3 linked regions of the Tribolium castaneum genome follow. The protein of the gene in region 2 purifies or fractionates together with the protein of the main gene of each other region. This does not show direct contact. Links are inferred from orthologs where the notes say so. Each region holds a gene or a part of one and is shown on either strand. Other genes may lie near its edges.

Region 1 (4,362 bases), on a different chromosome or scaffold from region 2:
AACAGTTGTCTAATTAAAGATTATAAGTAATGGATCACAGCGAACACAAAGTTTGGCTCAAGAAACCAATAAATTAGTGAAGTGTTATGAATTTTAGGTTAGAATTTTCCACTGAAAAAATCATGAAATGCTGCGGTAAATCTACAAAACTACAATAAAGATTAACAACTGCTGATACATTTAAACGTAAATTATGCCAAAAGGTAGGCTTTTCAATGTCTTTGTAATAATTTTCCAATAAAGAAAGTGGACCAAACAGTCATTTGTTATTCGTGTTTTCCTCGTCATCTCTCATTTGTCAACATAAGTTTCTTGCATCAAAGATGCAATAATCATTCCGCATAGGCAATGTAATAATTGTGAAGCCCCAAAATTCGTATAACGCTCAAAATATCCGAATAAACATTTTCCCGCCATTTATGGTTACTGTTTTCGACCTAGCTCAGTGGCGCCCCCAACGGTAATTTTACTTCCGAATTTTACAAACATGCCGCAAAAACACAGCTATAATGTAAAAAAAAAGAAAAAGTCAATATCTTTAATAATACACAAGTTATGGACCTTTTTAGCCACTTACCAACGACTCCTGTCGCAGTTGGCTGTAAATATTGGCGATTTTGTCCTGGTCCATGTTTTGCAGCTTCGGATGGACATTTTCGCGTGCATAGACCAAGTATTTGCGTAGCATTTCCTGCGGGATGGTTAGGTCGTTGTCACTGTCCTCAATTTCCAAAGTTTGGCCCTTTTTGGACGGGTGGTGACGTATGTGCGAGTTGACGACGAATTTCGCCAAGTGTTGGTCTTGGATTGGGTCAATTTCGTCTCTCACCACGCACATTATGTCAAAACGGGATAAAATCGGGTCGGAAAGGTTCACATTTTCGGCAAAAGTCATACTAGCGTCATAACGGCCTCCGATTGGATTCGCAGCCGCTATGACCGAACAGCGGGCCTGGAGACTTGTTACAATGCCGGCTTTTGAGATGGAAATTGATTGTTGTTCCATTGCTTCGTGGATTGAGGTCCGGTCTTGGTCGTTCATCTGATTTAATTCAATTTATAATCTTACCAATTATTTATTAAAACTGCCAGTTTTTTTTCATTACTCCAAATAATAATTACAAATTTATTATTTTTCAAATTTTGAAATTTTGAAATGTTTAGGCCACTATATTAATATTTAAAAAACCAAAAAAAAACAATCATCTCTTTGAAGAGCCATAAGATTACAATATTGTGTAATATTATTTTCCATTTAGTTTTTATAACATTTCTTTTCTGTTAGCCTTTTTTGTGTTTATTAGAGTGAATATTATTTAGGTTCGCTAAAATTGCGTAAGTATGCAAAATTTCAGTTCGTTCGGATAACTGGAACCTTCTTAAAATATATTTGCAAAATATTAAACAGACAACAAACAAGTGAAATAAAAGCTACTAATAAAAAAAAAACAAAAATTTTAATACTGTTTTCTCAACAGGAAGGTAACAAATAAATTTAAAAAAAGGAATAGAAAAACTTTTTTTCGGGAAATATTTAAATTTTCTTTAAAATTATCTAAGTAACCCCAGTGACGAGGAACTACTTTCTTTTTTTTAACAATTTTAAAAATTTTGATAACTCTTATTTTTTTTTTCAAACAACAAACTAAAAATGTTACATAACAATTCAAAAAAAAAAACTTTAAAAAAGTGGTTAATGCAAATTATACTACCAATTCTAGAAATTCTAGAAAAAAAAAGTAGTCAATCTTTCAGTGACATTGACCTGTGAACACATTTCTTTATGTACAGGGTGCTCTATTTTAAATGTCCGAATAGGGAATCTCCGAAACTAAGAGGTCTAGAGAAAAACGAGTGATACATTCTTGGGTCCGTTTTTTGAGAAAATAATTTTGGTCAAAACCGCATCTCGCTATCGTCTTTTGTTTTCGACTTATAAACAAAAGTTGACATTTTAGCGAAATCTTAAAAAATTCATATCTTTCTCATTATAAAAGATACACATTTGAAACAAAGACATTATCCAGGCACTTTTTTTCAGAGAATCTAATAATGTTATCAGCGATTTTTTTCAACCATTCGTTTAACTGTAATAACATAAAGTTGTATTTTTTTAAATAGGAATCATAGTTGGCTATGATATTCTCGAAAAGCTTATTTTTTTCTGATTTGATATGTCTATTTGTGTAATACATAATTTTAAATATTTAAGAAAAAAAAAAACATTTCGCTTTTTCTTTATAGTAGGCCATGAAAAATTTTTGGATTTTTAATTAAAACTATGAAAATTGTATTACCCAACAAGTATTTATAATTTAATGATTTTTTAAACCCTAATTAATTCAAAAACAGCATAATAAATTTTTATTAGATCAAATTTTTGCAATTAATAAAAATTTTTTCTTTTTATATTTAAAATGGCAAGCTCACGTTGTCATTCTATTTTCCAATTTTAAACAAGAAATGTCGGAAGGAGAAAAATCTTATTAATTGTATGATTGCGTATCAATAAAATTTTATTTTACAAAAAAATGTCAATCCAAACACCAAAATCAAATTCCATCTGCGGTAAAAAAATACACAACATTATCAACGTCACCTCCATTGCACTAAATCATAAAAAAGTGGCATCAGGTGGTAGTGAGACATCGTTTGCAATTTTCTGCACATTTTTATGTAATTAAAATCTGCGACGCTCGTATATTTGTTCAATTGAAAATAACTTTAACTTATTTTTATAATTTCACATTTTTACTTTAATAATCATTCACAAAATTTCTAGATTATTCACACCTTTTATGCGAAATAATTTTTCCATGGCCAACTACTTTCAAATATTTTAAATACATTTTTATCAAAAATATATAAAAATATCAAACTATATTTATATTGTTTTGAGCTCAAAAAAAAATAAGCTTTTCGAAACTGTCATAGCCAACTATGATTCTCATTTAAAAAAATACAACTTTATGTTATTACAGCTAAACGAATGATTAAAAAAAACGCTGATAACATAGCTTATTTTTATAATTTCACATTTTTTACTTTAATAACCGTTCACAAAATTTCTAGATTATCACACCTTTTATGCGAAATAGTTTTTCCATGGCCAACTACTTTCAAATATTTTAAATATATTTTTTATCAAAAATATATAAAAATATCAAACTATATTTACATTGTTTTGAGTTCAGAAAAAATAAGCTTTTCGAAAATATCATAGCCAACTATGATTCTCATTTGAAAAAATACAACTTTTTGTTATTACAACTAAACGAATGATTAAAAAAAATATTTTTAATTGTTTACTGAAAGGAAAAACGGAATAAACAAACATCCAATTGTTTTTGGCGCAATAAAAAATGCACAGCAAAAATACAACAAAATTTGTAAATTTTTTTTCATTAAAAAAATTCAACGCCAATGGTGAAAAAAAAATTGTTACCTTGTCAAACTCATCGATGAGACAAACCCCCTGATCGGCGAGCACCAGCGCCCCCGCCTCCAGGGTCCACTCCCTGGTGGCGGGATTGCGCCTCACATACGCCGTCAGCCCCACGGCACTAGCCCCCTGCCCCGTGGCAAAAACAGCCCTTGGTGCAATTTTCTCCACATATTTCAAAAACTGTGATTTCGCCGTTCCGGGATCCCCACAAATCAGGACATTAATATCGCCTCTGATTTTGTGCTTCTGGCCCGGATTTTTGGGCTCTCCCCCGAACAGGGCCAGCGCCAGCGCCCGCTTGATGTAATCGTGTCCGTAAATCGAGGGCGCAATTGAGGCAATAATCCGGTCGGCGATTCGGTGATCTTTGCTCATTTTGCGAATTGCGTTGACGTCGTCGTCCGTCAGCGACTGGACGATCTGTTTGCAGTCTTTGACCACCAGGTGGTTGGCGAAAATCACGGTGGAAAAGACCGGAAAGCCGTTGTCGATGTTTAAGGCGCCGTCGTAGTTGTTTGAGTAAATTCCGGTGACGTCGACTTCGTCTCCGGGCTTGCAGAGGTCGCACAGGTCGGCCAGGAGGATGCAGTCTTTGGAGCGGGGCACGCGCCCGGCGGGGATGTGCCCCGGGCACTCTTGGAGCGTGATTTTTTGGTAGTTGCGGTAAAGTGTTTGTTCCATGTTGATCTAATTTTTTATCAAATTATTATTGTTTTTTTTTTTTTTTGAAAAATTACCATGAAAGGGCCGGTGCTTTGACACTCGGGACAAACCCCAGGTTGGACCTCACTGTGCTGGTTTTGCACAAAAGGGCCCAAAACGAAGCCACATTTGTTACAATCGAATTTAACGACGGAAAGTTGGGGTAAAACCCCGGTGGTTGCAGTCACCACACCGATTGTACGAACCAGTTGGTT
Region 2 (4,789 bases):
AATTCAATTTATTGAAATAGATAAACCTTGGAGCGTTTTCGGGGACATTTGATGGCGTAATCACTTGTTTGGAACAATATTCGGAAATATCTGACACGATTGCAGTCAATTTGGGGCTAATGAACTCGTCCATGTCTTTGAAATATTGCAAACTTAACTCCTTGTCGGCTATAATTAACAATTAATTTAATAAAACCAAACAAACGAAACAAACCTCTCATAAATAAACAAACGGACGCACTTAGCGCCCTATAAACCACCAAGTTGTAGGACTCGGCCTTCCCTGAGGCAAATAAATAAACTTTGGGTATTTTCCCCACATTTTTGGCTGTTTTTAAATTTGTAGGTCCCGTAATGAAACGACCGTGATGTAATGCAGCAAAAGGTGAAACAGAATTACGGGGCATTGAGCCCCCTTGAAGTTCAGCCTCCATGTTGGCGGGCAGTAAAGTGCCAATTAAATATTGGTACACAATTTTCATGTCTTTGGGTTCAAAACCGCTCCTTTGAATTAGTTATTACTTATAAAACAAGTTTTAAGTTATTTGAATTAATTACCATATGAGATGATCGTTGTATAAGAACGCTGTGTACGCAATTTCGGGATACTCGCATTCAAGTGAATTGATAAAACATTGGACTTTTAAAAAAGTTAGTTTGTCAAGAGGCAGATACTGAATTCCGTGGAACACGTTCAGAATATCAGCATGCCCTAGTTTTAAGGTTTTCAGATACTGTGAAGTATAAATTAAAATTTCTTAAATAATCTTGTTAACTTACAGCTTTATAGAAACTTTCAAGTCTTGTTTTAAGTGTGCCCACATCGTGGTTCTCAATCGTGTGTTCAAAAGTGCCCCAGAAAAGTCTATACGTGTAATAGGCTTGTTTTAAGACGGCTTCGTAAACATTGTCTTGTACATCATCCTCGAGATATTCGATTTGAGTTGAACTGTCCTTCCCCTTAACTTCGGTTGGTAAAGTTAACGTCTATAATATTTAGTGCTTAAAAGTATTGATTAAAGATGTGTAAATACCAAAACAATCCACATATTTTTTTCTGGTTGGAAATACAATTGACGCATTTTTTGCGTATGTAGTGAATTCACTGGAGTGCTTGGTTTAAATGTGCTACAAGAAATCTTACAGTTTTTTGCCCCTTATCTCAAACACTTTACCCAGTGAATTGAATGATCCCCTCAACTAACCCCACATTCTTTATTTGTACATCGGCATTGTCAGATATTGGATAATAATAAAGAATTTTTTTCAGTTCCTGGAAAAGACATTGTGATTGTGTTCTAAAAGGGGCGTACGCACCTCCCCTTCCTTGGGGCCATATAGAGAATTGAAAATAAAAAAGTTTTTTAACTCCACGTCTTTGTTTTTACTCATAATTCCGGTTCGAAACTTATTGAATAATATTATGTTTTTAGAAACAAATTTTTCAAGTCCAAAATTTTTACTAGGTTATGTTATGTTTAGCAATATCCATTGATCCATATTATTCATTTGCCATACATCTCAAACATTAAAAATACGCGGACAGGTACCAAAGTACCTACTTTTGCCGTCAGTTTTAGAACTAGAGCATATCTATTGTATAATTATTCCTTCCTCAAGTGTCTTTAATATTTTTTAAAGTTGTTTGGGATTAGGGAAATTGCAAGTTGCAACGCAAAGATTGACATATAATTTGGCGCCAAAAAGTGTAACCCTTTTTCGAGGTTATTTTCGGGTGTTCCTTTTTCTTTAAAAATAATAATAACGAGTGCAAAAATGGACTTATTAAACTGTAGGCCCGACCAATGGTACCTAAACGAAACGAAATATTCGGAATTACTTCAAAACGAACAAATCTGGAATCAGGTTAGAAAGTTACACTTTTACAATTTTTGAACACTTTGTACATTGTTAGATTCCACTGTTGAATGCAAACGAGCTGCACAATTTCCAAGACTGGCAACTGGTTCGCTTCCAGGGCATGATACAGGATATGCACGGTCCCGAACTCTACTTGGAAAAATTCACTGTTACAAACACTGAAACTGCAGAAAGTACTATTAAATACGGCAAATACGTTGATGGTGCAGACTGTAAGGTAAGAGTAATTTTTTGAAAGCTATTCGGGGGCTGAGTATGTGTTGACAGTCTAATGAAACCATTGAGGAATGTCCCTCAACCACTCCAAGTGAGCGGCATGTTTACGTTGCAATTTCAATCCCTGGTATTAATCCATGGGTTCATAAAGTGAGTATTGTTTTAATTGAGGGGTTGTGTAATAAAAAAATTAGCTTGAGGAGGACAGGTACAAACTACCGTCTACAAGCTCTTCAACTTCAGTGCACTTAAAACGACCCGTTGAAGAAATGGAAGTCGCTAGTGCAACTGAACCATCAAACTCTAACAAGCGCCCATGTAATCAGTCAGCACAACCTGCAGAAACAACACCTGTTGTTTCCCAAGAGTACCTTTTAAATTTCCCAATCCCCAATCCGTCTGGCAAAGTATGCCACTTAAAAGTATACAAAGACATGGACAAGATTAAATTGAACTCAATTTGTGAATTTGTGGGCTTTTTGTCCCTCAATCCGCTTTTAGGGGCTAACATTGATGATGATATGAACGGTCTGGAGTCTCAAATTCACAATCCTCCTCCGTGTTTAATTCCTAGAATTCATTGTGTGTCGTTCAAATCATTGACTCACAATAATCCATTAGTTACGCACGAAAAAATGAGCGCTGATAAAATGCAGATCATTAGAAAAGAACTTTTGATTCTATTAACACAATTAATGTGTGGAGATGAATTGGCAGCCGAGTATTTAATTTACCACTTCATTTCTAAAGTGTAAGGGAATTCGCACATTTGATTCTGCTATTTTTCACGTGTAGACTTTTAGCTACTTGCGGAAAGATTTAATGGCACTTGGAAAATTTTCCTTAAACATTTCCAACGTCCCAATGCTTGAAAACATTGATTATGTCCAGGAAATTTACAAGTTTGTAGAGACCCTCACTACCAAAAGTCATTATTTGCCGATGTTGCTCGAGAATATGAATGAGCTCAATTTTGTTCCAAAGTAAGTTCCGTAGCACCGTTATTTCAGTTTGTGTAAAATGATTCTTCTTGGCTTGTTTTTGAAGAAAAGACTACAGTTCGGATCGTTTAACAAGTAGTGTTTTGCAATTAAGTGATAATACTCATTTGGTGTTGGACGAGACGAAACTAACTCCGGGAAAATTAAACGAGGGCGGAGTTACCGGAGTTCGCGCTCTTTCAAACACCATCAAGAACCAAAAAATCATGTACGATTTCACGTACTATCAGCTCGAGTATGATTGTGATATTCCGTTTCTTGTGTTTTCTGAAGGCAAATCAATGCTGCCGGTTTGTACTTATCACTTTGTTAAACAGTTTTGAAAAAAATTTTTCTAGAGCGATGTTCATGTAATTCTCAAACCAGAAGAAATGCATTTAAAGACTTTCAGCGAGATTCTGGAAGCGGCAAAACATTTCCTCAAACCTGAGCTGCTAAATGATATTCGACTTTATCTAACTAACGCCCGGTTGACCCAATATGACTTATCAGACGGTGTGCTTGAGGTAAATTGCATTTTTTGGTGTCAATTATCAGGAAAAAAAAATTGTAGATGGTCCAAAATAAGTTTGTTGAAATGAGACAAGCTGGTAACATCACAGGAGACGATCTTCACAGTCTCCTTGTTTTGGCGAGACTTGTTTGCATCTCACAAGGAAGAAACACCTTGGATGAGGAATGTTGGAAGAAAGCGTGTGCCTTGGAAGAAGCCCGAAAAGAAAGAATAAAGAATCGCAGTTCCGAGAAATAATTTAAAAGATGTGGTTTTTATTTTCTATTTTCTGATAATAAATTGTCACTTTTTAAACATTGTTTCAATAAACAACCAAACAAAATACGATTACAGTACAACCTCTTTAATCCGAAGAACACAGTGCAAAGTTAATTCGGATTACAGAGGTTTGACTGCATATACATTTGCGCTTTGTGATATTTCACAACAATGAAACACTAAAGCTTCTATTCTCCCTTCAATAACGTTGCCACAAGCAACATTACGAAGTTTCTACTCTTTTGTGAAGATTTTCAAAGTCTTGCAAAACTCCAACGACTTGGTTTTGCGCCTTCTTCAAACTTTGTATCCTTTCTCTTTCCTTCTGTAACAGTGTTAGTCCTCTTTTTACGACTGTATTGTAACGCTGAGACAGCGATTCTTCGTTCCCTTTCACACGTGGGATGTGTCCCGTGTATCCGGCAATTGGTGGATAATCCGGAGAAATTTTATGATCTGCAAAATTAGTCAAGTGGGGTGTTATTTCCTCAGAGAATTTCGTGAGGGATTTTCCTTTGTATTAAACTATTTTATGGGCTCATCTAGCCATAATAAGTTTACTTAAAGTATATTTTAACTGTTATCTCAAATCGAGTATCAAATGTATTTCAGAATGGCTAAGATTTTTTTTCTGATAATACCACCAGTTTCGCTGAATCTTTTGTTGTGAAAATAGTAGATTTGTATCCGATATTTACCTTGGAATTTGTGTTTTTCAACGTATTCATTCATGGCACGCTTCACTTCGTCCTTATTTCTAATGGGATTCAATCGGGGCGCACTTTGGGCCCGAAACATTTTATCAATTTCTTGTTCCGCCAATTGAATCCTCCTGTGTTTGTTGGTCTCGTATTCGTAAGCACAGTCATCGGCGGTTCGACTGTACGACTTTCCGTAGCGAAAGTTCAGGGTTGGGATG
Region 3 (3,584 bases), on a different chromosome or scaffold from region 2:
ATCAACTTGTAATTTTTATAAAAGACTCCTGGAGGTAACACTCTTATTTAACTTAGGAATTCTAAAGATCTAAAAAGATTTAATCAAGTAATTTTTGCACCTACGTATCTAATACTTATTAGATGATGATCTTTGTTAAATAATTATTAAGATGGGCAATTGCGCGTACCTAGTTACTCATTTTAAAAATATGTGCTTACGAAAATATTTGTAAATTCATGTCATAACCGTTGAAAATCTTACAAAACAATCATTAAATGTTGACGATAGATGTTTTGTACTTGTGGTGTAATTTAAAATCGGATGAAAAATGTATGACAATTTTTTTCAAGGTCCGATTGATTATTGACTCATTTATCCAATTAGTTATATAAACTTCGTATTATATTATATAATACAATATTATATTGTATTATATACTTCGTATCTATTCTTTTAATTATTCTGTCATTTAAAAACGTCACCCTGATTTCTAACTCTTCCTTTTAATTTGCAATTATTTAAATTTAGTTTAGAACCAAATTTATTTGTACAAGTTTTTCTTTTTCTACAAAGCTTGGTTATTTTTTTTAATCCAGGAAATTAAAAAAAATACTATTAGAAAATGAGGGATAATTGCAATGTCCGTTTAAACTTAGAATAGGTTTGCTGTTTTTCCCTTTTTTTAACAAATCCAGCACAATAAAACATATCCATGTTAGAGGGATTATAGCCAATAAAAGATAAATTAAGGCAACGGGAATGTTTTATTCAACATTTATAAATACTGTCTCACAGTAACTTTCAAGAACAATAGATTTTTAAATCGGTTTAAAGTATCTACAAAATCATAAGAAAACTCACACACGCACATCTTCATTTACATAAATAAATTATTAAATACCGTCATTTTTTCTGTTCTTAACAAAACAATAGACTCCATACACACTTCTGACAAATATTATCACATATATTGAGATGTATAACTGAACTGATGCAACAAAAATGCACGTTTAACCTATTTTCAGTCAGGTAAAGATTATTATTATTATTTTTAATCCGACATAACGCCTTTATTACTTAATGGTGGAAGATGACGTCGAACTCGAACTATTGTTTATTTGCGATAAAATCCTACACTTCTGAGTACAAGGTGGTTGGTAACAAACAGCACTAGTATGACCTGATCGACCCGAGGTCAACGGTTCCCCATCCTCCCATACGTCTCTCAAAGGATCATAAATTTCTACGTTCGCTAAAAAATCCTGACCATTATATCCACCTGAAAGTTATTAAAAATTAGTCTACAAAACTAAAAAGGAGGCGAAACACAAAAAATTTAGTGAGCTGAATTCAAGAGCAATTTGCATAAAAAAAAAACAGGAATACTGAACCTTCTATTCTCCAAAAGAGAAGAAAAAATAACAAATACAGCTGTGAAAATATGAAATAAAAAGTTGTAGTGTCATTTTATAGAAGAAGCGTTATTAATTTAATCCGCAATTAAATGTCTGATTTACTGAGCACGTGACCAAATTGAACAAATTTGATTGGTCTATTTGCGTTGTTAACATTTAACAACGAATTAAAATTTAATGAAGCTTTCTATAAATCGGCCAGTAGAGAATTAACTTTATTTACTTAGAATTTACTTTATGAACAAACTAAAATAAAATAAATGAAAGAGACAGTCATAAAAGAAAAAAAAACACGAAACTTATGACAAAAGTTCTAAAGTTCCTAAATCATCAAAATCATCGAATGAATTTTGGGTTTTGACCAGTAATTATTGTGTAAATCCATTTCACATAAGAAATATTTTTTATTTTGCGAAAAAATTTGTAATTGGATTAGAAAAATCGAATTCGAATTTTTGTTATATCGCGACACATCAAACTTCAACGCCGGTCGTAACGTTCAAAACAAACTTTTTTTTAATCTCCCAAACCAATCTTGATTGTCCTACAACATTAATTACATGTTGCACATTTTTTTTCTTTTACGACAAATTAATATACTGGAATAATTCTTTGGACCATAGGTACGTAAAACTTTCCAATAAATCGATTAGTGTTTATAAAGCCTAGTTTAAAGGATATTAAAGTATTAAAAAACTGTATTTTTATCGCAAACACTGAACGTAATCAACGTTCAAAATTTAGGAAACCGGTTTGTAAAAAAATGTTATAAATATAAATTTTTGTTGATTTGGGTAAAGTTCCAAACACAATTAACAGCAATGTTTCAGAACATGCATAAGTAAGACCTTCTAAAAAATGTGTTGAGGAGAAACCCAAAAAATTCTTCGGCAACGATTTTTCAGTAGCTATCAATGTCGTGCCTATTTATACCAAAAGTCCATTCAAAATTTAAAAAAAAGAGAAAAATCGAATCAAATGAGTTTTATTGTACTCTTAGCGATCAAAGAGTCTTTAAAAGTGACATAAAATATTCGTTTAGTAACTTAACTAAAATAACGAAATGTAGTACGAATGATTTGTTTCACCTCTTAATACTTTTTTTGAATCTACCGTAGTTGTTGAAACACTCACCCATTGCGTATATTTTGCAATCTAGGACCGTTACACTTAGGGCACTTCTTGCAATCTTCATACTAGCAACAAATTCCCAAGTATCTTTCTCCGTATCATATCTTTCCACTGTATTCAGTTGCTTCGAGCCGTCATATCCACCAACTACGTATATGTACTGATTAATTGCGGCAACTCCAGCGCCGCTCCGTTGCGTATGCATGGGGGCTATCATAGTCCACGAGTTATTTTCGGGGTGGTAACACTCTGCACTATTGTGTCTTTGGGTACCGTCATAACCACCTATTGCATATAGCAGTCGGTTGACAACAGCGACACCAACCGCTAGACGTTTGAAATGCATAGGTTTTATCGTCGTCCACCTATCCAAATCAGGATCGTAGCTGAAAAATAAACAGCAACTTAGACTTAACTTTAGACGGGTACTTGTTTTGTAAGAAACAAGGTAAACTCTCAAGTCGTCTCGATAATTTTTTTCAATTTAGAAAAACATTTAATTAAAAATATTGATAAGGATAATATAGATAAGAATTGACGGTTATAGCAAAAAAGATGCAGTTTCTAATTATAATTATTTGGAAGTATGCAAAACAATGCAACAATTAAAATGTTATCCGAGGAAATAGTTTGCAAATTATTTGGAATATTATAACGCGTTTATTGATTATCAACGATTATAAGTTTTTTTTAATTTGGTTTTATTATTAATCTGTTGCTGATGTTGTCAGATTTGAATTAATGTCAAATGTACTAGTTTGGTGGTAAATGTTTTAAACACCATAAAATACAATATGACGATTTTTTCAAAAAGTATAAAGCTTGTGAAAAAAGGCTCAAACAATTTTTTGTCATAAGAATTTTAACTTAGTTTAATGTCAGCTATCAATATCCAAAAGATGGTCGGCGACTTTTAAATCACCTGTAGTTACTGTGAGTTTCAACTTGTACGCAACTTAGGAAATGTTAGCCTTTGCCAAATAATAACGAATAGTAGAAAAAAAAATAGTACATAATAGTTTTTTAGTTTCAGAGATATTACATAATTTTACACTA

The links. Proteins that work in one complex are often made in the same cells at the same time.
Region 1: the proteins of mini-chromosome maintenance complex-binding protein (region 2) and Mcm2 purify together in Homo sapiens (co-immunoprecipitation; 6 studies listed by BioGRID and IntAct, with this or other methods). This does not show direct contact. The link is inferred for Tribolium castaneum from reciprocal best matches to the Homo sapiens genes MCMBP and MCM2.
Region 3: the proteins of mini-chromosome maintenance complex-binding protein (region 2) and Keap1 purify together in Homo sapiens (affinity purification with mass spectrometry; 3 studies listed by BioGRID and IntAct, with this or other methods). This does not show direct contact. The link is inferred for Tribolium castaneum from reciprocal best matches to the Homo sapiens genes MCMBP and KEAP1.

What each region holds. Positions count from the first base shown.
Region 1 is NC_087400.1:2,398,588-2,402,949, forward strand, and holds part of Mcm2 (DNA replication licensing factor Mcm2), read right to left. Parts: coding exon 4,183-4,362; intron 4,133-4,182; coding exon 3,446-4,132; intron 1,043-3,445; coding exon 578-1,042; intron 1-577. UniProt on the Homo sapiens protein: Acts as a component of the MCM2-7 complex (MCM complex) which is the replicative helicase essential for 'once per cell cycle' DNA replication initiation and elongation in eukaryotic cells.
Region 2 is NC_087394.1:35,480,932-35,485,720, forward strand, and holds mini-chromosome maintenance complex-binding protein, read left to right. Parts: upstream 1-1,568; 5' UTR 1,569-1,776; coding exon 1,777-1,866; intron 1,867-1,915; coding exon 1,916-2,098; intron 2,099-2,148; coding exon 2,149-2,247; intron 2,248-2,291; coding exon 2,292-2,848; intron 2,849-2,900; coding exon 2,901-3,080; intron 3,081-3,144; coding exon 3,145-3,388; intron 3,389-3,436; coding exon 3,437-3,604; intron 3,605-3,651; coding exon 3,652-3,849; 3' UTR 3,850-3,906; downstream 3,907-4,789. Other genes in the region: vacuolar fusion protein CCZ1 homolog, read right to left, coding at 1-168, 215-504, 559-734, 781-987, 1,035-1,128, 1,176-1,273, 1,318-1,392; ciliary microtubule inner protein 2B, read right to left, coding at 4,094-4,326, 4,569-4,789. UniProt on the Homo sapiens protein: Associated component of the MCM complex that acts as a regulator of DNA replication.
Region 3 is NC_087395.1:20,702,129-20,705,712, reverse strand, and holds the end of Keap1 (kelch-like ECH-associated protein 1B), read right to left. Parts: intron 2,915-3,584; coding exon 2,532-2,914; intron 1,262-2,531; coding exon 1,056-1,261; 3' UTR 728-1,055; downstream 1-727. UniProt on the Homo sapiens protein: Substrate-specific adapter of a BCR (BTB-CUL3-RBX1) E3 ubiquitin ligase complex that regulates the response to oxidative stress by targeting NFE2L2/NRF2 for ubiquitination.